3 linked regions of the Diceros bicornis minor genome follow. The protein of the gene in region 1 interacts with the protein of each later gene in a pairwise test. Links are inferred from orthologs where the notes say so. Each region holds a gene or a part of one and is shown in the gene's direction. Other genes may lie near its edges.

Region 1 (7,040 bases):
GATTCCATATCTCACGCTTTTAACCGCTCACCACATCACCCACCAAACAGGTTCTTTCCCAGGCCTAATAACAAGCCACCATCTAATAGCCAAAATAATAACTGTCAATTAACAAGGATTACCACCTTAAGTCCTCAAGGTAACATAAGAAGCAATTATTATCTTCATTTCTGGGAGGAAAACTGAGGCTCAGAGAGCGTAAGCCATTGTGGCAAGGTTGCAGCTAGGAAGTGATGGAGGCAAAATTCAAACCCACAAATGTCTGACTCCAGGCCCACAGCCTTATCATCACTCTATACTGCCCAGTAGTTAAGAGACATGGATTCTGTCCATTCATTCACTCATTCATTCAGCTCATTTTTGTGTGTGCGCATGAGGAAGATCAGCCCTGAGCTAACATCCATGCCAATCCTCCTCTTTTTTTTGCTGAGGAAGACTGGTCCCGGGCTAGCATTGGTACCCATTCTCCTCCACTCTATATGGGATGCTGCCACAGCACGGCCTGACAAGTGGCGCTGGGTGCGCGCCCGGGATCCGAACCCGGTGCCCAGCAGCGGAGCGCCCGCACTTAACCCCCACGCAACGGGGCCGTCCCCCTCAGCTCATTTTTTGTGTGTCCGCACTGGACTAGGCATGTTCTAGCCCCAAAACAGTCTCCTGCTGCATATAGCTCACCTTGCAGTGAGGGTGACAGACAGTACACAAATACAGAGTGTCACATGGTGAGACGGGCCATGAGGACCACTAAAAAAACAGTTAAGTGGATACTAAGATGGAGGCCTAGTGTAGACACCGCGGCAGGGGAAGGTCTCTCTGAGGAAGTGACAGCTGAATAAATGATGGCTGGATGAACAAGAGGATGCAAAAGGATTCTTTTTCTGTATCTGGGCTAGCAGAGAGGCCGAGTGGGTGAGACATCTTTTGTCTCAAATCCCCCTTTTTGGGAGTCAATGTTAGATGTAATTCTCTTCCTCTCTCCAGCCAGAAAAGCTGAGAATATTTTTTCCCCACTCTCTCCTAAAAGGAATGAATGAAACGGTTTGGGAAAGAATCTTTCGGGGACCTGTTAATACATTGTGACTAGAGCCACAAAAGGGCGCGGGAGTGGTGAGGCAGCAAATCATTGTGACGGTGACGTGCAGCCTGGCACGGAACAGAGGGCAGAAAGGGCACGGCTTGGTGGCTGATAAGAAGGGAGGGATGGACAAGGAGTCCCTCAGTCCAACTCTCCCTTGCTTGGGCCCATTTCACCGAAATTTGAGGCCGCACAGAAGACCCCAGCGTAGACGTCGCCGTCACCCCTCCCTCCCAGCCATAATCTCTCCCGCAGTCACCCGTTCGGCCAACGCGCATGCGCCCGCCCCACCAGACTGGGAGCGCGCCCGGGCAGCCAGACGCATGCGCAGCCTCACTGTTGCAGGTAACCGACAAGACCGGCGCGCGCCTTCTGCCGGTGTGCGCCTGCGTCAGGGGAGGAACCCGGGGGGGCGGGGTTTGGGCGACACGCGAGCTCTCGGTCCCGCCCCGGCCCTCTTTGCTTTTTCTGGCGGGAACGGCGCACGCGCACCTGCTCTCCACGTAACTGCCGTTGTTTGTTCGTCGCTCTCGTTTGTGTCCCGAGACTGGGACGTGGCCTCAGGTGAGCCCTGGCCCTGGCTGCAGCGAGGTTCCCCAGAGAAGCTCTGTCAGAGCCCCGCCCGCAGTCCTGGCAAAGCCCCCAAGTCGTAGAGGAGAGTCCCCGATATCAGGGCCTTCCAAATCTAGCTAAAATTCTTCTTGAAATCCCGACCAAATACCCTCAGAAATACTGAAAGGAACCCATCAGGAAATCTTATAGATGACCCTGGAAATCTTCTCAGAATCTTCTAGAAGTTCTGTCAGACTTCTCCCTCAGAGCCTGTCAGAGACCCCCCTAAAATCCTATTAGACTCCCTCCCCAAATCCTATCAGAGACCCCAAAAGTTCTGTCAGAGAGCCCCAGAAATCTTCTCAAACCCACCAAAAATCCTGTCGGATTCCCCTCCCAAAAACCTATCAGAGACCTCGCAAATCCGGTTGGAGACACCCCCAGAAATCCAGAGGCCCCTCCCCCTAGAAATCCAGTCAGAGATCTGCCCAGGAATCCAGAGACGCCCCCCCCTAGAAATCCAGTCAGAGGTCTGCCCAGGAATCCAGAGACACCCCAGGAATCCAGTCAGAGATGCCCCAGAAATCCAGAGACCCCCCTAGAAATCCAGTCAGAGACCCCCCAGAGACCCCTCTAGAAACCCAGTCAGAGATCCCCAGAAATCCAGAGACCCCCTAGAAACCCAGTCAGAGATCCCCAGAGATCCCCCCCAGAAACCCAGTCAGAGATCCCCCAGGAATCCAGAGACTCCGCTAGAGACCCAGTCAGAGATCCCCCAGGAATCCAGAGACCCCCCCCAGAGACCCAGTCAGAGATCCCCGAGGAATCCAGAGACCCCCCCCAGAGACCCAGTCAGAGATCCCCCAGGAATCCAGAGACCCCCCCCAGAGACCCAGTCAGAGATCCCCGAGGAATCCAGAGACCCCCCCCCCAGAAACCCAGTCAGAGATCCCCAGAAATCCAGAGACCCCCCTAGAAACCCAGAGATCCCCAGGAATCCAGAGACACCCCTAGAAACCCAGTCAGAGATCCCCCAGGAATCCAGAGACCCCCCCCAGAAACCCAGTCAGAGATCCCCAGAAATCCAGAGATCTCCCTAGAAACCCAGTCAGAGATCCCTAGGAATCCAGAGACCCCCCCCATAGACCCAGGCAGAAATCCCCCAGGAATCCAGACACCCCCCCCTAGAAACCCAGAGATCCCCCAGGAATCCAGAGACCCCCCTAGAAACCCAGTCAGAGACAGCCCTCACCCCCAGAAACCCAGCTGGAGGCTCCCCGCAGAATCCCTGCCTAGGTCCTCCTGCTCAAGTCTCCCCGTCAGAGACCCCCAAGATCACCCAACAGCCCCTGCTCCCCCGCCAGGAGTCTGTCCCCGAACCCTGTCAGAAGCCCCCAGTGCAGGTCGGCAGCCTTGCAGGGCCCCTTCCCCACTGAGGCCCCACGGCCATCGCCCCCCTTATGCACTTTCTGGGCTCGTCCAAACCCTGGAAGGGTCTCTTTTCAAAGACCCCTTTTTCTAGGACGTTCTAAAAGCCACCAAGAAGTGCGCGCTCCACGGCCGTGGACCCCGTCTGGCGCCAGGGAGAGCAGGGAGTGGGGAGTGCTTGGTGAGGAAAGGGGGCTGAGCAGGTGGGGGGAGGACACACAGGTCCCGGGTGACCCTCTGTGACCATTTGCCCCAGTGTGCCCAGTTCAGCTTCGAGGGGCACCACTGTCCAGTGTGATTGTTAATAGCGCCCCTTTCACTCTTGCAAGTGTCCTGGAGGTGGGACGGCAAGTCGTGTGGTCAAGCTGATTATCACGGAGGCAGGACAGGGCGTTGTCAGGGCACAGAGGAGAGGGGCCCTAACTGCTCCAGGGACTCGGGGAAGGCTCCCAGGAGAGCTGTCACCAGGGCGGGGACCACTGGTGAGGATGGTGCGTGCGTGGCCTGGGCGGACCGTGGGAAGATGCTAAGCTCCCATGGCCGTGATGGGGGTGAGCAACCTGGAGATCGGCCAGTGGAGGGAAGAGTGACAAAAAGAGGCAAGGAGTTGCAGGAACCACTGTGTACCACGCCAGCCTGAGGGACTGGGACTTAGTCCTGGGGGCACTCGGGAGCCATGGGTGGGCTGGGAGCAGGGAAGGAGCGGGATCAAACTCCAGTGAAAGGCCAGCAGCTCCAAATACAGGCTGACCTGGCAAGAATGTCAGTAGCCCAGGGCGGTGGGGGAGCCCAGGGACAGCACCTTGTTCAGAAACATTGTCCCAGCAGAGGGGACATGTGAGCCGAGACAGGAAGGGCTGGTGAGGAGGGTGTCCGAGGCAGAGACCCAGAGGGGGGAACAGCCTTTGGGGAACAGCATGCAGTTGAGTCGCTGGAGCAGCAAGTGTGATTTGGAGTGGAGAGACAGGTGGGGCCAGGCCGTGCAGGGCCTTCAATGCCAGATCCAGGGTCTAGGCTCTGTCCCCCGGGTGCTGGGGAGCCGTAGAAGAACACTGAGCAAAGGAGGGACAGGTCAGCTCTGGGGCCCTGTGGGGATGGACTGGAGGGGGAGGGATGGAGGCCTGACCCAGAGCTGTAGAGAGGGAGAGGAGGGGACAGGGTAGAGTCACCCTGCGGGAGCAGGGCTGAGGGCTTAACAAGCTGTGGGGAGGAGGGGAGGCAAGTGACCCCCGCCCAGTAGCCCCCCTTTGATCTCCGCCGCCCGCTCCTCGGGCCCCCATTTTCCCAGCCCACACCTCCAATCCATAAAACAGGTCTGAGCGGGCGCTGCTCTGGTCGAGGCAGGGTGGGCGAACAGGTTCTGAGAACCCAGAGTGGCCCGGGGCACAGGAGGGGCAGCACGGTCCCCATCCTCGGGTGGCTGGTCTGAGGAGGCCGTTCTCTGTTTGTCCTTGCAGGAGCTCTCGGGGCCGCCGGTGCTTTGTCAGTCTGTCCCAGTGATGGAGGGAGGCTCTTAGCGTCGCCAGCGGCTGCAGAGCAGAGGCAGTGGCCCATGGACCTGCCAGAGAGCCGGGCGGGCAGCCCCGCCGCTGCAGAAAGTAGGTGGCTGGGCCCCTGTCTGTCCCATGGGAGGATAAGGAGGAAGTAGTGGGTGAAGAGGGCACCAGGCTGTGACGCGGGGACTTTGGAGAGGTGGCTTGGGCTGGCTGAGCCTCCCCCTTGGTGCAGGGTGGGAGACAGAGAGCTATCGTTGATTAAGTGCCTGCTATGTGCCCTCCGGTCTGGACACCTTGTCGCATTTGCTCTAGGGAGGCCAGAGCAGCAGCCTTTGCAGGCGCTGTCCCCCTGCCCCGGGGACCTGCGGGCTTCCCCCTCACTTCCTTCAGATCTCTGCTTTCTGTAAAGCAGCTGCCTGTCACGCTGTCTCCCCTTTCCTGCTTCACTTCTCTTCGTAGCACCGACATCTGTTTGTCTGTCCGTCTAGTCTCTGTCTCCCCCACTGGAGCATGAGGTCCACAAGGCAGGGTCATTTTAGTCACTCTGGTATCCCCGTCCCTAGAGCAGCGTGTCCAACAGGCGAGCCATGTATGTCATTTTACATTTTGTTAGGAGCCACATTTAAAAGAAACAGGCAAAATGAGTGGCAATAATAGATTTTATTTAACTTAATATGTCCCAAATCATCTCCTTTCTGCTTATCATCAGTATAAAAATATGTTGGAGAGATTCTCTTTTTTTTCATACTAAGTCTTCATGATCTGGTGCGTACTTTACACGAACAGAGCATCTCAGTTCACACTCACCACAGATCAAGTGCTCAAGCAGCACCTGTGGCGAGGAGCTGCCCTCCCTGTTGGTTACGCTGCCCCAGAACGATGCCTGACACGGAATAGGAGCTCAGTTACTGTCCTTGAGTGATTGGAAGGACGCAGACCCTCTGGGTGTGACAGCCGGCTTCATGAGGAAGACGCTGGGTGGCGCTCTCTGAAATTCATCTAAGTGGGAGAGCCCCATGTGATGGGGGAGGAGGCTCCCACCCCAGGGCAGCAGCAGGGTCCCTTTCTTAGAGGCTCCCAGCATCCAGCAGCAGAGCCTGTGTCTTTCCTCAAGGCCTCAGGAGGCTTTCCAGGTGGGAAGGCGGAAGGTAGACACCTCGGTGAAGGAACCTGAGGGCAGGCTGATGGAGTAACCGACATCTAAACTTCGCCGCCACCAGCAGAGGGCGTGCGGCCACCGAGGAACCCGCGGGAAAGGGCTGAGCCAGCTTCGGGAGGCTCCTGAAGGAAAGGGAGGGACACACCCAGGAGAGATGGAGACAGAGGAAGGCAGGTGGGGAGAGAGCCAGAAAGGCAGCAGAGGAAAGAGAGAGAAGGTTCGGGGAATGGAGAGTCACTGAGATATGGGAAGAGAAGCACAGAGACGGAGACGCAGGGAAGAAAACGGGGCAAAGGACAGGGAGACCAAGAGGCGGGGCTTAGGGGAGAGAGAGATGGGAAGGAAGATGTATAGAAAGAGCCCGAGAGAAAAGTAGAAAAGGGCAGGGACAGAGACACACAGAGTGAGGTAGAGACACTGAGGAAGAAAGTACAGGAAAGAGAACAGGAGAGAAGCAGAGTGACATCCTCCTGAGGGCCCTGGGAAGGGACTGTAGACACGTGCGGATCCTCAGGGCCCCTGAGATGTGGAGCCAGACAGTGCTGGGTTGACTCCACCTGGCTCTCCTTGGCTGAGCGGCTCTGGGCGAGTGACCTTGCTGGACCTGTGACCTCACTGGGCCTCAGGGTCCTCCTCCGTAACGTGGGGAGCACAGTGAGAGGAGGAAACGAGAGTGCCCGTAAAGCTCCGGGCATGGGCCCTGGTGTCTCCCCTGATGTGGGTTCCTGCTCCCCTTCCCTAGGAACGTGGGCTCAAACCCAAGGGGACTGAATGTTAGCTCACTACGAAGAACCGTTGAAGAGTTAGAGGGCTGAGAAAGGGCACTCGTGTGGAACAGGTGACCCTGGGCAAGTTCCTAACTTCTCTGTGCCTGGGTATCCTCATCTGTAAAGTGGGGCGAATAATAGCAGCCACCATGGTCCGTGCAAAACACTTAGAAGAGGCATGGCACCTATTAAATGCCGAATACGTGTTCCATTCTATTATTGAGCTTCCACCACGTACCAGTCTCTCTGCCCAGGCCTTTCCAGATTGTCTCTCATTTCTTCTCTTGGAAGGAGGTGAGACCAACCCCATTTTCCAGACGAAGAAACAGGCTCGGAGAGGCTGAGTCCCTTGCCTGGGTTGCTTCCCGGGTCTGCTAGACTCTGCAGCCCGTGCTCAGCCCGCTGCTATACCCAGCTGTCCAAAGGCAGGGCGGGGAGTCTCGAGGGTCACTTCCAACCCTGGGGAAGAGGCTGGGCTGTCTCAGTGGCTCCTAGAGTAGAGGATCTCCTCCTATATCTTGGCGCATTTATTGAGTGCCTACTATATGCAGGCGCTGTGGACC
Region 2 (7,542 bases), on another chromosome or scaffold:
AATACGATGTTGAATAGAAGTGGCAAGAGCAGATATCCTTATCTATCCCTGATCTCAGGGGGAAAACTTGCAGAATTTCACCATTAAGGATGATGTTAGCTGTGAGTTTTTCATAGATGCTCTTTATCACAAAGATGTAATTTTAAATTTTCTAATAGCCACATTAAAATAAAAACAGGTGAAATTATTTGTAATATATTTAATTCAATCTAAAATATGATAACATATTATCGAGGTAAAAATTGATAAGATTTTACCTTTTTTTATATTAAGTCTTCAAAGTCCTACATGTATTTTAGACTTAAGCACATCTCAGTTTCAACTAGACACATTTTAAGAGTTCAGTAGCCACATAGAACTAGTAGCTACTGCACTGGATAGTGCAACTCTAGAGCTAAACAGACATAGGTTTGAAGTATAGCTCCCCTTCTTCATTATTCCGAATTTAAGCAAGTTATCACCTTTCTCTGAAGTAGTTTCATCATCTAAAAAGTTAAGGCAAGTACAGACTTAGAGTCCTCACAAGGATTAAATGCTAAAGTGTATGAGATGACAGTCTGGGTTTAAATCCCAGTGAATAAAGTTGGCCTCTGCCTGTAGAAAATGGGAACAGTAGCAACTAGCTCAAGGGTCTGATTACAAGAAATGCTATAAGTTACCTGGCAGAGTACATGCTCCATAACGTGCATTTACTAACTTTTATGCGATACTGATTAACATGGAAAGAGACCCATGGCATGTCATAGAATAAAAGTTCAGGCTACATACGGCATAACCCCATTTAAGTAAGTTATATATAAGGATAACGATTCAGGACATTCACAACCACATCATTAGTTATCTTGGAATAGGAGAATTCTCACTTTACTTTTTTGCTTGGATTCACTAGAGAATATATATATATTTTTGCTTAAAATCTTTCAATAAAGGCCTGGGATCAGCAACATACCAACAGGAATGAACACACCTAGCTCGCAGATCTTGATTTCTGAATATTGACAAGATATATTAAGTTAAAACAAAAAGCAAAGTCTTGTCGCCGGCCCTGGGGCCAGCCCTGGGGCGTAGCGGTTAAGTGTGCGCACTCCACTGCTGGTGGCCCGTGTTCAGATCCCGGGCGCGCACTGAGGCACCGCTTGTCAGGCTATGCTGTTGTGGTGTCCCACATAAAGTGGAGGAAGATTGGCACAGATGTTAGCTCAGGGCCAGTCTTCCTCAGCAAAAAGAGGAGGATTGGCATGGATGTTAGTTCAGGGCTGATCTTCTTCACACACACACACAAAAAACAAAGTCTTTAATTGTGTATAATACACAACCCTCTGTATTTTTAAAAACGTAAAATAACAACATAGCTTTACATTTGCTTGTACGTTCTTCAAGAGCCTCTGGAAATATATACAATAACACTGAAAAAAAGCATTTCCCTGGTTGGGTGGTGTGGGGTGGAGGGTTGAGATCTGGGAGCATGGGGAGCAGAGTTGAGGGTCGGATTTTTCACTGCATATATTTTTAAAAATTTGGATAACTTTATTTTGATACTATTTTCTTTCATTGTAATCTTATGTATTTTATTTTACGCATTTAAAAACATCACTCTGAGAAGAGGTCTGTAGGCTTTCCCAGGCTGCCAAGGGCCATGGCACACCAGTGGTTATGAACCTGAGCTCCAAATGATCATGCCTTTCCATCATTGCCCTTCCCTTACGACCACTTGCATTTTTAAATAATAGCTTTGTTCAGATATAATTCCCATACCTAAAATTCAACATTTTAAAGTGTACAAGTCAATGGTTTTTAGTATATTCACAAAGTTGTGTAATGATCCCTACTATCTAATTCCAGAACATTTTTATCACCCATACCTACTGCAGTTACTCTCTACTTCCCCCTGGCAACCACTACTCTACTTTCTGTCTCTATGGATTTGCCTATTCTGGACATTTCATATAAATGGAATCCGGCAACATGGGGTTTTTTGTGACTAGCTTTTCACTTAACATAATGTTTTCAAGGTTCATCCATGTGATAGCATGTATCCTTTTTAATTGCCAAATATATTCCATTCATGGACATACCAAATTTTTTATCCATTCATCAGATGATGAACATATGGGTTGTTTCCACTTTTTGACTATTATAAGTAATGCTGTCTTGATCGTTTATGTACAAATTTTTGTGTCGATGTATGTTTTTACTTCACTTGGGTGTATACTTAGGAATGGAATTGCTGGGTCATAGATTCACTCTACGTTTAATTTTTTGAAGTAGTGCTAAACTGTTTTCCAAAGTAGCTCTACCATTCTACATTCCTACCACGAATATTTGAGGGCTCCAATTTCTCCACATCCTCACCAACACTTGTTATTGTCTGTCTTTTTTAATTTTAGCCATCCTAGTGGGTGTGAAGTGGCATCTCAGAAATTTTTGGAATGCATTTACCTAATAACTAATGGTGCTGAACATCTTTTCATGTAATTATTGTGCATAAATTTATTATTTATTATAGTGTTTGATTTCTAAACCACATAAATGCATTACGTAGTCAACACTTCAGATTAAAAATAGACATTCTCAGGCCCAACCCTGAGGAATAATTCATTTGGGTAAGGGTAGGGCCCAGAAATCTATGTTTTTCATAAGAATCCTGGGTGATTCTATCAGAGATGGTCCTAGACCAGGCTTAACAAACACTGAACCCACTGAGCAAGAACAATGGGGGCTGATGTGGAGCAGGTGATTCTTGTTGGAGTAATGAGAGGGATTCTAAAGGGTCAGCAGGATTTCCCTAGCGCAAGGAAAGACATTCTAGAGAGTATAGGGGGAGGAGACAGATATTCCTGGCCCATACCCTAGAAAGTTGATTTTCCCTCAGTAGGTCCTGAACCCTCTTAGTTATTCCTCAACCAGGGGCAGTAAAAAATCCCGGGCCCTAGGATCACCTTGGTCAGAGATCTTATCATAGTCCTGCTGCTGTGTGACTTTGGGCAAGTCACTTCCTCTCTCTGAGCCTCAATTTCCCCTTCTGTAACAGAAAAACAATAGTAATTACTCACAAGGGTATTGGGAGAAGAGAATGAGTTCATGTGTGTGAACACGCCTAGCATATAGTAGGTGCTCAATAAATGTTGCTGATTTCTTGCTTGCCTTTCCCAGATCCTAGACATAGAGACTCTCTTTTGTGTATATGTCCTTATTTGCATGTGCTCTTATTGCCCAGCTCCAGGTGTTAAATCCCAAGTAGCTCACATCTGTTCCTCTCTCTCCACTGCCATCTCCCTAGCCCAAGCCACCCTCGTGCCTGCTTGGATTACTGCAGTGGCCTTCACACAATTCCCCTGCTTCACCCTGGTCCCCTCCAACCCATTCTCCATATAGCAAATAGACCTTTTGCTCTAGTTTTAAAAACACAAACCTGTCACTCTGCTGGTTAAACCTTTTAATGACTCCCCAACAATGGGATAAAGTCCTAACTCTTTACTTCGGCCTTCAAATGCTCCAATCACTGTGAAGTTTTTCAGTTCTAACAGCCAAGCTCCCTCTGGATTCTGGGCGTTTACATCTGAAGTGAAAACCCCTTTCCACCCCTCGACTCCAGCTAATTCCTACCCAGGCCTCAATGGTCTTCACTCTAGAAAGACTTTCCTAATCCTTGAAGTGGGAGGAGGTGCCTCCTATCTGCTCCCTCAGCCTCATGCCAAGGAGCACCCTATTTCATAGCTTCACGGGTGTAGGTTCTTCCCCCCTCTGGGTTGTGATCCCTCAGGGGACAGGGACCCCATCTGTCTGTCTCATTTCTGTGCCCTCGGATCATAGCATGGTATCCTAGTGCATAGTGGATACTCAGAACATGGTTTTTAAAAGTTTTGTTGAAATTTTTGAAAAGTACATTCCACCTTTCTTGTAGAATGTCCCTCAAGTTGAGTTTGTCTGTCATCTCCTCATGATTAGATTCAGGTTAAGTATCTTTGGCAGGAGTATCACATAAGTGATGCTGTGTCCTCAGCGTATCCAGACGCACGAAGTGTCAGTTTGTCTCGTTAGTGGTCAAGTTAACATGGATCACCTTGTTAAGGGGGTGCGTACCCGATTTCTCCACTGTAAAGTTCCCGTTTTCTCTTTGCAATGATTAAGTAATTCATGGAGACAAACTCTGAGACTGTGTGAACGATAAGCGCTCTTGAGAAGTCACAGAACCCTTCCAAGCTTCAGCTTCCCCATCTGTGAACTGGGGACAGCGGCATCTTAAACTCGTATCGGAGTTTAAGAAAGTGAAACTGCTAGAGACGCTGGAGAACCTGCCCCGGTGCAGACGGCAAAAACACGCCAGCAACGAGGATTAACTTCTTGCACGTTCGGAACGCGGAGAGGCAGGACGCGGTGTGCCCGAGAGAGCGAGAGCGCGCGCGTGCGTGTACGTGTGCGCGTGCGCGGCGGGGGGCGCGGAGAGGGAGTGACCACAGAGTCGGTCCTCCCGAGACAGAGAGGCCGGAAGCTTTTCTCCGAGAATCGGGCTTTTGTTAGGTTGGAGGAACTGAGGCGGTGCGACCGGGTTCTGCAGGCGGTTTGGCGCGGTAGTCCCGGCAGCGCGTCGGCCTGAGGGGCTCCGGGGTTCTGGGCGGGTACAATGGCGTCTCGGGCAGGCCCGCGAGCGGCCGGCACCGACGGCAGCGACTTTCAGCACCGGGAGCGTGTCGCCATGCACTACCAGATGAGGTATGAATTGAGGCGAGGAGCACGCCGGCCGCCGCGGCCGGAGCCTGCAGGGCCTGGGGAGCGACGCCGGCCCGGCCTCACGGTCTTACTCCCAGCCGGCCCCGCGCACCTGCCAAGCCCCCTCCTCCCGTGGCGGCCCGGGGCCTGTCCCCATTCCCGGGAAGCCCCGTCGCCGCCGTGCGCTCCACTCGGATCCGCCCTGTGTCTCGAGGGGGTCCAGCCCCGCCGGAGTGACGGCGATGCTGGACCTCGGGAGCCTCATTTCTAATTGAGCCCCGGTTTCCTCATCTGCGAAGGGAGACGTAATCTACCTTTTGGGTTTGGGTGAAGAGTTAGTGAGCTAACAGTTCGTGTAACGGACGTAGCATAAGATCTAGCACATAATAAGAGTCTGCCCAATACGTGGTAGCTGTTATATTTTGGGCCGTTTAGGGGGATGTGGACCCTAAAGTCCAGCCTTTCCCTGCCTAAAGTGAATTTTATGAACACCCCACGTAAGGGGTATTTCTACATTCATTTATTTGTTTGACAAATATTTGTTGAGCTTCTACCCATCATGCATTGTGCTAGGCACTGAGGATATAATTGAGCAAAAGCAGACCTGGTCTTTGTATGCATGTTATACCGTCAATAAACAAGTTTATTAACAAACAAATAAAACTGGTCCCTGCCTTCATGGAGCTTGAAGTCTAGAGGTGACTAATTTTACCCCTACCTACCTTTCCACACTTTCTATAATGGATATTTTTAAAATAAAAGAAATTTTTTTCGGTGAGGAAGATTAGCCCTGAGCTAACATCTGTTGCGAATCTCCTCTTTTTGCTGAGGAAGATTGGCCCAGGGCTAAGGTTGGTGCCCATCTTCCTCTGCTTTATATGTGGGACACTGCCACAGCATGGCTAGATAAGCGGTGCGTAGGTCAGTGCCCAGGATCCCAACCTGTGAGCCCCGGGGCTGCCCTGGGCCACTGAAGCAGAGTGTGGGAACTTAACCACTATGCCACCAGGCTGGCCCCTGAAATAAAAATTTTAAAACGAGATTTTCTTTCCTTAAATCCATTGAACGCTGTCAGTGTTTTTCACATCTTTCTCTCCAGAGTTTAAAAAAATGACAAGCTCTTTGGACCCTCACTTCATTTTTATCCTTAGACCCTTGCCTAAGAGGACCTCACAGCCCAAGCAAGTCTTGTTGTGCCTGTCCAGAGCAGAACCTCTGCCCTTGCGAGTGTGAAGAGGATACATTTAGGACCTGAGAGAATTAGAAGAATAAGAGAAATACGTGCTGCCTTTAGATGAAAAATCGACTGTAGCTTGAGAATTATGGGCAGCCTGAGCTTATTTCCTGACTGCCACTGCCTCTTTCCTCCAGGCTGTATCCCTACGGTGCAAAGTCATCTTTCTAAACACAGCTCTGAAATACTCTTCTGCCTTTAAACTGACTCTTTCATAGTTTTTACAGTTTCATATCCAGCTACTCCCCTTCCCCTTACAGCGTATTCCTGCCACACCCAACCACTTGCTTTCCTGGAACACAAATGCTTATGCCTTTTTGCCTGCATACTATTACCTCTGCTTAGAATGCCCATCTCCATCCACCTCTCAGAGCCCAGCTCAAATGTCACCTTTCTCTAGTTAGCTGTCTCAGACATCCTATCCCAAGCAGAATTGATTACTCCTTCCTGTGATCCATCTATTTTGCAACATATAATTACTAGAGCTTTTCCAATTCGTTTTCTAATTATATTTTCTTCCTCTGTTCCTTGTGCCCAGCCTCCGGGCAGGGACTATATCATATTCACGTTTGTATCCCATTGTCCAGTATAGTTGCCTGGCATATACTTGGTGGTCAGAAAATTTTGAATGAAAGGTACTTCTCCCTCTGCTCTGCCCCACAGTGTGACCCTCAAGTATGAAATCAAGAAGCTGATCTACGTGCATCTGGTCATATGGCTGCTGCTGGTTGCCAAGATGAGCGTGGGACACCTGAGGCTCTTGTCACATGATCAGGTGGCCATGCCCTATCAGTGGGAGTACCCGTATTTGCTGAGCATTGTGCCCTCTGTCTTGGGCCTCCTCTCCTTCCCCCGTAACAACATTAGCTACCTGGTGCTCTCCATGATCAGCATGGGGCTCTTTTCCATCGCTCCCCTCATTTATGGCAGCATGGAGATGTTCCCTGCTGCACAGCAGCTCTACCGCCATGGCAAGGCCTACCGCTTCCTCTTTGGTTTTTCCGCTGTCTCTGTCATGTACCTGGTGTTGGTGCTGGCAGTCCAAGTGCATGCCTGGCAGTTATACTACAGCAAGAAGCTCCTAGACTCTTGGTTCACCAGCACACAGGAGAAGAAGCGTAAATGAAGCCTGCCTGATGGACTGCTCTGTGGGGTGAAGCCTGGGCCTCCCATTGAGTGGAATGAGAGGGTAGAGGAGCTGTTCTGAAATCTCCTTTGGTGATTTTGGCAGCTGTGATGTTGGAAACGAGTGCAAACTAGGTCCAAGTTCTGGAAAGCCCCTCCTGTTGCCATCAGCTGAGGTTGCAAAACTGTACTTTATTTCTAGTTGGCTGGAAGTCAGTGATCAACAGCTGTAAAACAAACTTGAGCTGGTTGAAGCTGAGGTCCTTCAGGATTTTTATTTTAAGACTGAGCCTCATCCTTGCCTCTTCTTGGTCATTCTTTCCACTTCCATCCATCACCCCTTAGCCACCGAGACTGAAGGAGATAGGGAATAAATCAAATTCTGCTTCAGTCTATAAGTCATGGGGCAGGAAACATTTGGGAGGCTGCTCGCCCTGCAGGCTGTGGTCTCTATTGCAAAGATTTTAATTAAA
Region 3 (7,693 bases), on another chromosome or scaffold:
ATGCAGCTGTCAATTTACAGGAAACACACAGGTCAGAGGAACATGTTAAATTACACCACGGGAATGCAATCAGCAAAATCCAGACCATGGAAAATTCTAACGGACACATCCTTCCCCCAACCCCAACAAATAAATTACTTAAAAAAAGAAAGAAGATGGAATCAAAACCTATAGATTAAAAGAGAACTAAAAAAAAATCAATCAGGGGCCACCCTGTGGCATAGTGGTTAAGTTCCACGTGCTTCACTTCGGCAGCCTGGGGTTCACGGGTTCGGATCCTGGGCATGGGCCTACACCACTCACCAGCCATGCTATGGCGGTGACCTACATACAAAATAGAGGAAGACTGGCACAGATGTTAGCTCAGGGCCAATCTCCCTCAAGCAAAAAAAGAGGAAGATTGACAACAGGTATTAGCTCAGGGCGAATCTTCCTCAGCAAGAAAAAAAAAAGATTAAAAAAAATCATCAATCGCAATGTGTAGAACTTATCTGGATCCTGACACAAACAAATTGTAAAAGAAAACATTCACGACGTTTCTAAGACAATCAAAGAAATTTGAACACTGGACCTTTGCTGGAATTAAGGAATTTTCATAATATTTTTAGGTGTGACCTTGGTATTATGTTTATATATATATATGTATATTTTAAAGTCCATATCTTTTAAGGATAATGAAATATTTACAGATGAAACATGATGTCTGGGGGCCGGCCCCATGGCTTAGTGGTTAAGTGTGCACGCTCCACTACTGGCGGCCTGGGTTCGCACACCGATACACCGCTTGTCTGGCCATGCTGAGGCAGCGTCCCACATACAGCAACTAGAAGGACGTGCAACTATGACATACAACTATCTACTGGGGCTTTGGGGAGAAAAAGAGAAAAAAAAGGAGGAGGATTGGCAATAGGTGTTAGCTCAGGGCCAGTCTTCCTCAGCAAAAAGAGGAGGATTGGCATGGATGTTAGCTCAGGGCTGATCTTCCTTATAAAAAAAAAAAAAAAAAAGAAATACGAAGTCTGATATTTGCCAAAAAATTATCTGGGAAGACGGACTGGATGGGGGTAAAGTTGAAATAAACAGCCAGAAGTGGATAACTGTAGAAGCAGGGTATTGGATGCATAGCAATTCTTTATATTCTTCTATCTTTGTACATGTTTTAAATTTCCCATAAGTAACAAAAAAAGAAAATCAATAAATTATTGTAATTCTCATTTCACTAGATGAAGAAAAAGCATTTTTTTTGTGTGTGTGTGTGTGTGTGTGAGGAAGACCAGCCCTGAGCTAACATCTGTTGCCAAGCCTCCTCTTTTTGTTGAGGAAGATTGGCCCTGGGATAACATCCGTGCCCATCTTCCTCTACCTTATATGGGATGCCGCCACAGCATGGCTTGACAAGCGATGCATCAGTGCGCGCCTGGGATCCGAACCTGCGAACCCCGGGCAGCAACAGTGGAGCGTGCACACTTAACCACTACGCCACTGGGCCGGCCCAGAAAAAGCATTTGGAAACGTTAGAACACTGGACTGAGAATGGAAAGAACTCAGTTTTAATCCTTACTCTGCCATGTAACATCAGACAAGTCTCTTTACCTCTCTGGGTTCCAGTTTCCTCATCTTTCTGATAATGGAGTTAAACCACATGGTTTTTAAAGTCCTCCCGCCCCAGCTTTTAATTTTTTCCAACTATTTATGGAAAGCCTTGTAAATACTAGAAATATCCAAATTAACTTTAAAATCCTATGACTAGACCTCTCACCAGTTTCTCATTTATCTTGAGTTTCAACTTCCTCCTTATGATGTTTATTCTGAATCTACACTTGGGGGTTTGAAGATCATTCTACTTAATGAAAATGTAAGCAAAAGATGACACCAGTAGTTCCATTATTTGTTACTTGTAAATATTACCTCTCCCTGCTGAGGGCCTGTTTCTGTGTTCTTTTTGATCCAAAAATTAATAGAAGAAAAATTGTTATTTATCATCCTCTGGATAGAGTAACCATAACATGTATATTCCTTATGTGCAAGCATTACAACCTTGAGGAAATTGTTCAATCTTACTGTGCCTAAGTTTCCTCATTTGTAATATGGGGATGATAAAAGCACCTACTTCACAGAATTGTGAGGATTAAATAAGTGAAAATATGTAAAACTCTTAGAACAGCGCATGCAAGTGCTCAATAAATGTTAACTATTACTATAAATGTTAATGTAATTCAGGACTACAAGCAAATGTTAATGCACATAATATAACCACTGGTTCTCCAACTTGTGAGCTTATTAGACTTGCCCTTAAAATCCTGATGTTACACCTCACTAAACCTGGGGCCAAGGAACTAGACAAACCAAGAAAATAAATGAATAAATATCCTGATGCCCAAGCCACATCCCAGACCAATCACATCGGAACTTCTGCGGGTGGGCCCCAGTATTCTTTCAAGTATTCCAAATGATTCCAAATGTGCAGACAAGTTCAAGAACCAATGATGTAAACTACACAGATAAGGAATAAGCAGGTATGAAATAGCTGGAGAACATTTAAGAGCTGAATTTTTAAGTTGAGTTTAGAAGGAAAAGCAGTGCCTAAATCTAAGTTCTATAATATTTTTCTATTAAAAACTGGTACCCAGAGATTAGAGATGGGCGTAAATTGCGTAGGTCCTAAAAGGTCAGAAAGTAAAGGACAAAGAATTAATGAAAAATATGTAGAGTGAACTAGACATAGTGGATTAAAATATATCTATTTAGATAAACAAAGCAAAAGGTTTACGACCTGCTACTTTTAAGAAGACCTAATATTCAAAACCGAAGTCTGAAGACAACAATCTCTCTGTGCTGCAGGAATTTAATTACCTGGAGAACCAGCCCTGTACCCAGGAAGCACACAAGGTTGGGACCAAACCCAGGAAACGCAAACCGCCCTGAGGCAGGAACTGTTCTTTTATGTTCCATACGATATCTAGCATAATGGGGCACACATCCTAAAAAACAACACAAGTCACGATGCTAGAATTGGGCAAGGTGTGATTCATGGATCAGCTGCTCCACTCTTCAGCCTCATCACACTCATCACCTTCACAGGTCTAGGCAGTCCAACAGGTGCGCAGCACTGGCTTCCTCGTGACTTGGACCACAAAAGGCAGAGAGGTCTCATCTTGAGGATCAGACCCACGGTAAGATTTACTTTAACGAAAGGCTGTATGACAACAGAGAAAGCCTTGTTTGGGTGCTGTTCTTTTTTTTGGGTGCTGTTCTTTACTTTTAACAAAATAAGCTAGGTTAAGTCCTTACTCTGGAGACAGTTGGCTGATGTTCAGTTTGCCTCCCAGAGCATCTTCAGATACCTGTTGAGTATCCTCCTGCCCAAAGACTGAGATGTGCGTGGATTTCTATGCTCTAGGAACAGAAGACAGGACTTTGGCCACTGTAACAGGGAACTGAGCCAGAGACCTGAGTGACCAGTTGTCTTGGTAACTTCCTGTCTAAACTGTAAACTAGACAGAACTTCAAAGCCGCATTTATAAAAACATAATAGCAACAGACTAAAAGAAATGAAAATTTACAGGCAGGCACATTTTGAAATTCTTAACTGGCTCTTTTTCATCCTTCTTTAATTACTCTTTAAACCAGGTTTTCCAGCCTCCCTCGTTAGCCTGTTGACAAAGTGAAGTGTTAGTATTTGTATGCTTTGTTTAAATATTTTATCTGCAACCCGTTCCACACTGCTAGTCAACATTTTCCTGTCAGTTGGAATCCAGGCCTAGGACTCCCTTAAACAAAGCATCCTTCCCCACAGAAACGCAATTTATAAGAGCTGCTTGCCATTCTTTGCTGCTACAGACATTAATCTTTGTGGATCTTCGGCCAGTAACGTGCGTATATGCACACAGTTTCCAAACAAGAAAAACCCTTCAACGTGAAGTCCTACAAGATACAATGATAAAGTTAGACATCGCTTGAAAAAAAAGCACTAATAATCTCAACGAAGCCAAAAAATAAATACACGCTGTGCACCTCAAGAGCTCTTCAAATATAAGAAGGATCCTCGAGAAGATATAAGGTACGTACAAACTTACTAGATGACTCTGCTCTACTAGCAAAAGTTCTGTCAACAGCCCCCTCAGTTCCATCAGACCAAGGGGGCAGACGTAGGAAACTTGGTGGCCCCGGGGCCTCCCCACTCTCCATACCCCTGTCCCCTCCTCAGGCCCCTGTGCCCCCAGGGCGCGTGCGCAGCTCTGCGCCAGGCCCAGGCCGGCTCGGGGACGCTGCTCCCGGGGAACTCGGCTGACGCCGCAGCGGGGCACGCAGGTGCCCCTGAGGGGCGCGGCCCGGGTCTACCGCCCCTTGCGGTCACCCCTCTCGGCCCAACCTCTCCGGAAACCCCGCTTACCCGGCTCGGTGCCGCATCCCTGCGCTCAGCGCCGCGCTCGGGGGCGAGCTGATAGCGGGGGCCAGTGAAGGCGCGGCAGAAAGGAGAGAGAGCTGTCCTCCACCCCGGCCTCAAAGCAGCCATGGCCCACGCCTCCCGGCTCCCGCGACGCACGGCAGAGTCGCGACGGCGCGAAGGGCTGCCTTACGGCATGGTCGCAAAGCCAGAGTGTGTGAGAGAGAGAAAGAGAAAGAGTGGGGAGCGGCGCGGCCGACAGTGCTCTTTCCCTGCGTGTAACGGGCTGCGGGGGCAGCGGGGCGGCGCGGACGGGGACCCGGCGGCTGGTCCACTGTCGCGGCCATTACAGACTGCCGCGCAAGGCGGCTAGCGGCGGGCTCGGCGCGGGTCGAGGTGCGGCGCGGACGCCAGAGGACGCTTTCCAAGGGCGGAGGGCGTTCGGCCCGGGGGCGGGGCTGCCGGGCTCGGGCGACGGCGGGAGCTGCGGAGTCGCGGGGTGTCGGCGGCGGAGCGCGCGATGGCGCGGGCGGCACAGGTGAGCGCGGCGCAGCGGCTGCGCGGGCCCCCTCCCTCCGCGGGGGCGGCCTCCCCTCGGCGCGGGCATCCGCGGGCGACCTGTGCTCTGGCGCCTCACCCGGCTCTGCCCGGACGGGCGTCGGCGCCGCCCCCACGCCCTGGGTCCGATGGGGCCGCCGGCCGGCGGGGCCGGGCTCCCTTCCCTACGGGCCGGGCTCCCCTCCCTCCGGGCCAGCCGCCCCCTTCCCCGCGGGCCATTGTGAGGTCAGGCCGGCGGGCGCGTAGTGGGGGCCCGGGCGAGACGCCCAGAGCGGCCGCAGCGGCCGGTAGCTGCCGCCGCCACCGCCGGCCCCTTCACCGGCTGCCCCGTTCAGATCTAGCCGGGAGGGGTGAGAGCGATGCTGCTTGGGGCCCATCTCCGGTGCTGCACCCCGTAAAGGGCTGATCTTCCATCTCGCCACCTCACCTACGGGAAGCCAAGACCAAATCAGCTCAGACCTCTTCCGGGTAAAGTGCTGGGAGGGAAGGGTGAGGAGGGGAGGGGAGGAGGGAGGCAACCTGTCCTCCAAAGGCACGTTCTTGGCTCGAACACCCACAAGGGATTGGTTTCAATTGATTATCCAGCCCCTTCCAGTGAGCTGTTTGGTAGAAACCCAAGAGCAGGGAAAAAATGCGTTAAGTCATTCTGGACTCTTAATGGGAGGCTAGTGAATGAATTATTCATAGTTGTCACATTTTTGTGGGATGTATTGGGGGAGGAGGGGAGCATGATAGGCATGGGGAGGTACTCGGGCCTCCAAAGCCCAAGATGGTGCCTTTAATGTAATCCCAGTCGCGTTTCCTGTGGAATTCCATACCTCTGTAGAGAAGATTTGTGAGGTACTAAAAGGGTGAGATGAGAAACAGGGTAGCTTTGTAGAAGTGCATAAAGGGATGGAGAAGAATGTAGAAAGGGGGACTTTGGGGGGTGTCTGGGAACCACTGGTATTTGTTTCGCTTTGAGTTACTTTTTCTGGAAACTAGGCATAGCTCTTTGGCCAGGTGGGGTGCTTAGGTGGTACTGTATCGTTTGGAAGGTTAGAAGAGCTACTGTTTCACATTCCACAAAGGTGCCCTGCTGGTGCCAGAAAAACAGCTTCCAGTGTCAGCAGCTAAGATAGTTGTGCTCTTTCCAAGGTGATAGTTCAACTTCATGCTGTACTTATGAAGACACATGCTACCGTCTTGTACACTTGAAGAAACTTGAAATTCACAGGCCCAGAGCACCAGGTCGTTTTGGACGCTGCAGTAACCCCTGTCTGTTCTTAATCGCTGCTGTGTTTATATTATTTTCAGGAGAGGGAGTTGGTTAATCACTGCTTGAGTATGACTGTCATTTGGATTACAATAATAACAAGCCCTTTTTCTTAGGTATATCTTTTTAAAATGAGAATTTTAGAGTGAATTAATATACAGTTACCGTTTTGCAGAGACTTTGTGATGTAATCGGTTATCATTCTTGTCATCTTTCAGTGCTTGTGAAACTGAACACAACAGAAGTATGGATATGGGCAACCAACATCCTTCTATTAGTAGGCTTCAGGAAATCCAAAAGGAAGTGAAAAGTATAGAACAGCAAGTAATTGGCTTCAGTGGCCTGTCAGATGACAAGAATTACAAGAAACTGGAGAGGTTTCTAACAAAACAACTTTTTGAAATAGACTCTGTAGATACAGAAGGAAAAGGAGACATTCAGCAAGCTAGGAAGAGGGCAGCACAAGAGACAGAGCGTCTTCTCAAAGAGTTGGAGCAGAATGCAAACCACCCACACCGGATTGAAATACAGAACATTTTTAAAGAAGCCCAGTCCCTGGTGGAAGAGAAGATTGTGCCATTTTATAGTGGAGGCAACTGTGTGACAGATGAATTTGAAGAAGGCATCCAAGATATCATTCTGAGGCTGACACATGTTAAAACTGGAGGGAAGGTCTCCTTGCGGAAAGCAAGGTATCACACTTTAACCAAAATCTGTGCAGTGCAAGAGATTATCGAAGACTGCGTGAAAAAGCAGCCTTCCCTGCCGCTTTCCGAGGATGCGCATCCTTCCGTTGCCAAAATTAACTCTGTGATGTGTGAAGTGAACAAGGCCAGAGGCACTCTGATTGCACTCCTGATGGGGGTGAACAGTAACGACACTTGCAGGCACTTGTCTTGTGTGCTCTCAGGGCTGATGGCTGATCTGGATGCTTTAGATGTGTGCGGGCGTACAGAAATCAGAAACTACCGAAGGGAGGTAGTAGAAGATATCAACAAATTATTGAAATATTTGGATTTAGAGGAGGAAGCAGGCACTACTCACGCATTTGACCTGAGACAGAATCATTCCATTTTAAAAATAGAAAAGGTCCTCAAGAGAATGAGGGAAATTAAAAATGAGCTTCTTCAAGCACAAAATCCTTCTGAATTGTACCTGAGCTCCAAAACAGAATTGCAGGGTTTGATTGGACAGTTGGATGAGGTAAGTCTTGAAAAAAACCCCTGCATCCGGGAAGCCAGGAGAAGAGCCGTGATTGAAGTGCAAACTCTGATCACCTACATTGACTTGAAGGAGGCCCTCGAGAAGAGAAAGCTGTTTGTTGGTGAGGAGCACCCATCACATAAGGCCGTCTGGAGCATCCTTGGGAGCTTGTCAGAGATCCAGGGAGAAGTTCTGTCATTTGATGGAAATCGGACTGATAAGAACTACATCCGGCTGGAAGAGCTGCTCACCAAGCAGCTGCTAGCGCTGGATGCTGTTGATCCGCAAGG

Evidence for each region. The genes of interacting proteins can lie anywhere in the genome.
Region 2: the proteins of KASH5 (region 1) and JAGN1 interact in binary tests that used the Homo sapiens proteins (3 or more experiments, as listed by UniProt). The two-hybrid records come from large-scale screens. The link is inferred for Diceros bicornis minor from reciprocal best matches to the Homo sapiens genes KASH5 and JAGN1.
Region 3: the proteins of KASH5 (region 1) and BAG5 interact in binary tests that used the Homo sapiens proteins (3 or more experiments, as listed by UniProt). The two-hybrid records come from large-scale screens. The link is inferred for Diceros bicornis minor from reciprocal best matches to the Homo sapiens genes KASH5 and BAG5.

What each region holds. Positions count from the first base shown.
Region 1 is NC_080773.1:24,834,561-24,841,600, forward strand, and holds the start of KASH5 (protein KASH5), read left to right. Parts: upstream 1-3,958; 5' UTR 3,959-3,972; coding exon 3,973-4,126; intron 4,127-4,512; coding exon 4,513-4,653; intron 4,654-5,263; exon of another isoform or gene 5,264-5,496; intron 5,497-7,040. UniProt on the Homo sapiens protein: As a component of the LINC (LInker of Nucleoskeleton and Cytoskeleton) complex, involved in the connection between the nuclear lamina and the cytoskeleton.
Region 2 is NC_080741.1:82,837,211-82,844,752, forward strand, and holds the start of JAGN1 (protein jagunal homolog 1), read left to right. Parts: upstream 1-4,461; 5' UTR 4,462-4,624; coding exon 4,625-4,713; intron 4,714-6,607; coding exon 6,608-7,070; 3' UTR 7,071-7,542. UniProt on the Homo sapiens protein: Endoplasmic reticulum transmembrane protein involved in vesicle-mediated transport, which is required for neutrophil function.
Region 3 is NC_080763.1:48,214,736-48,222,428, reverse strand, and holds the start of BAG5 (BAG family molecular chaperone regulator 5), read left to right. Parts: upstream 1-4,612; 5' UTR 4,613-4,925; intron 4,926-4,951; exon of another isoform or gene 4,952-5,413; intron 5,414-6,241; exon of another isoform or gene 6,242-6,316; intron 6,317-6,418; 5' UTR 6,419-6,446; coding exon 6,447-7,693. Other genes in the region: cytochrome c oxidase assembly factor 8, read right to left, coding at 4,394-4,516. UniProt on the Homo sapiens protein: Co-chaperone for HSP/HSP70 proteins. It functions as a nucleotide-exchange factor promoting the release of ADP from HSP70, thereby activating HSP70-mediated protein refolding.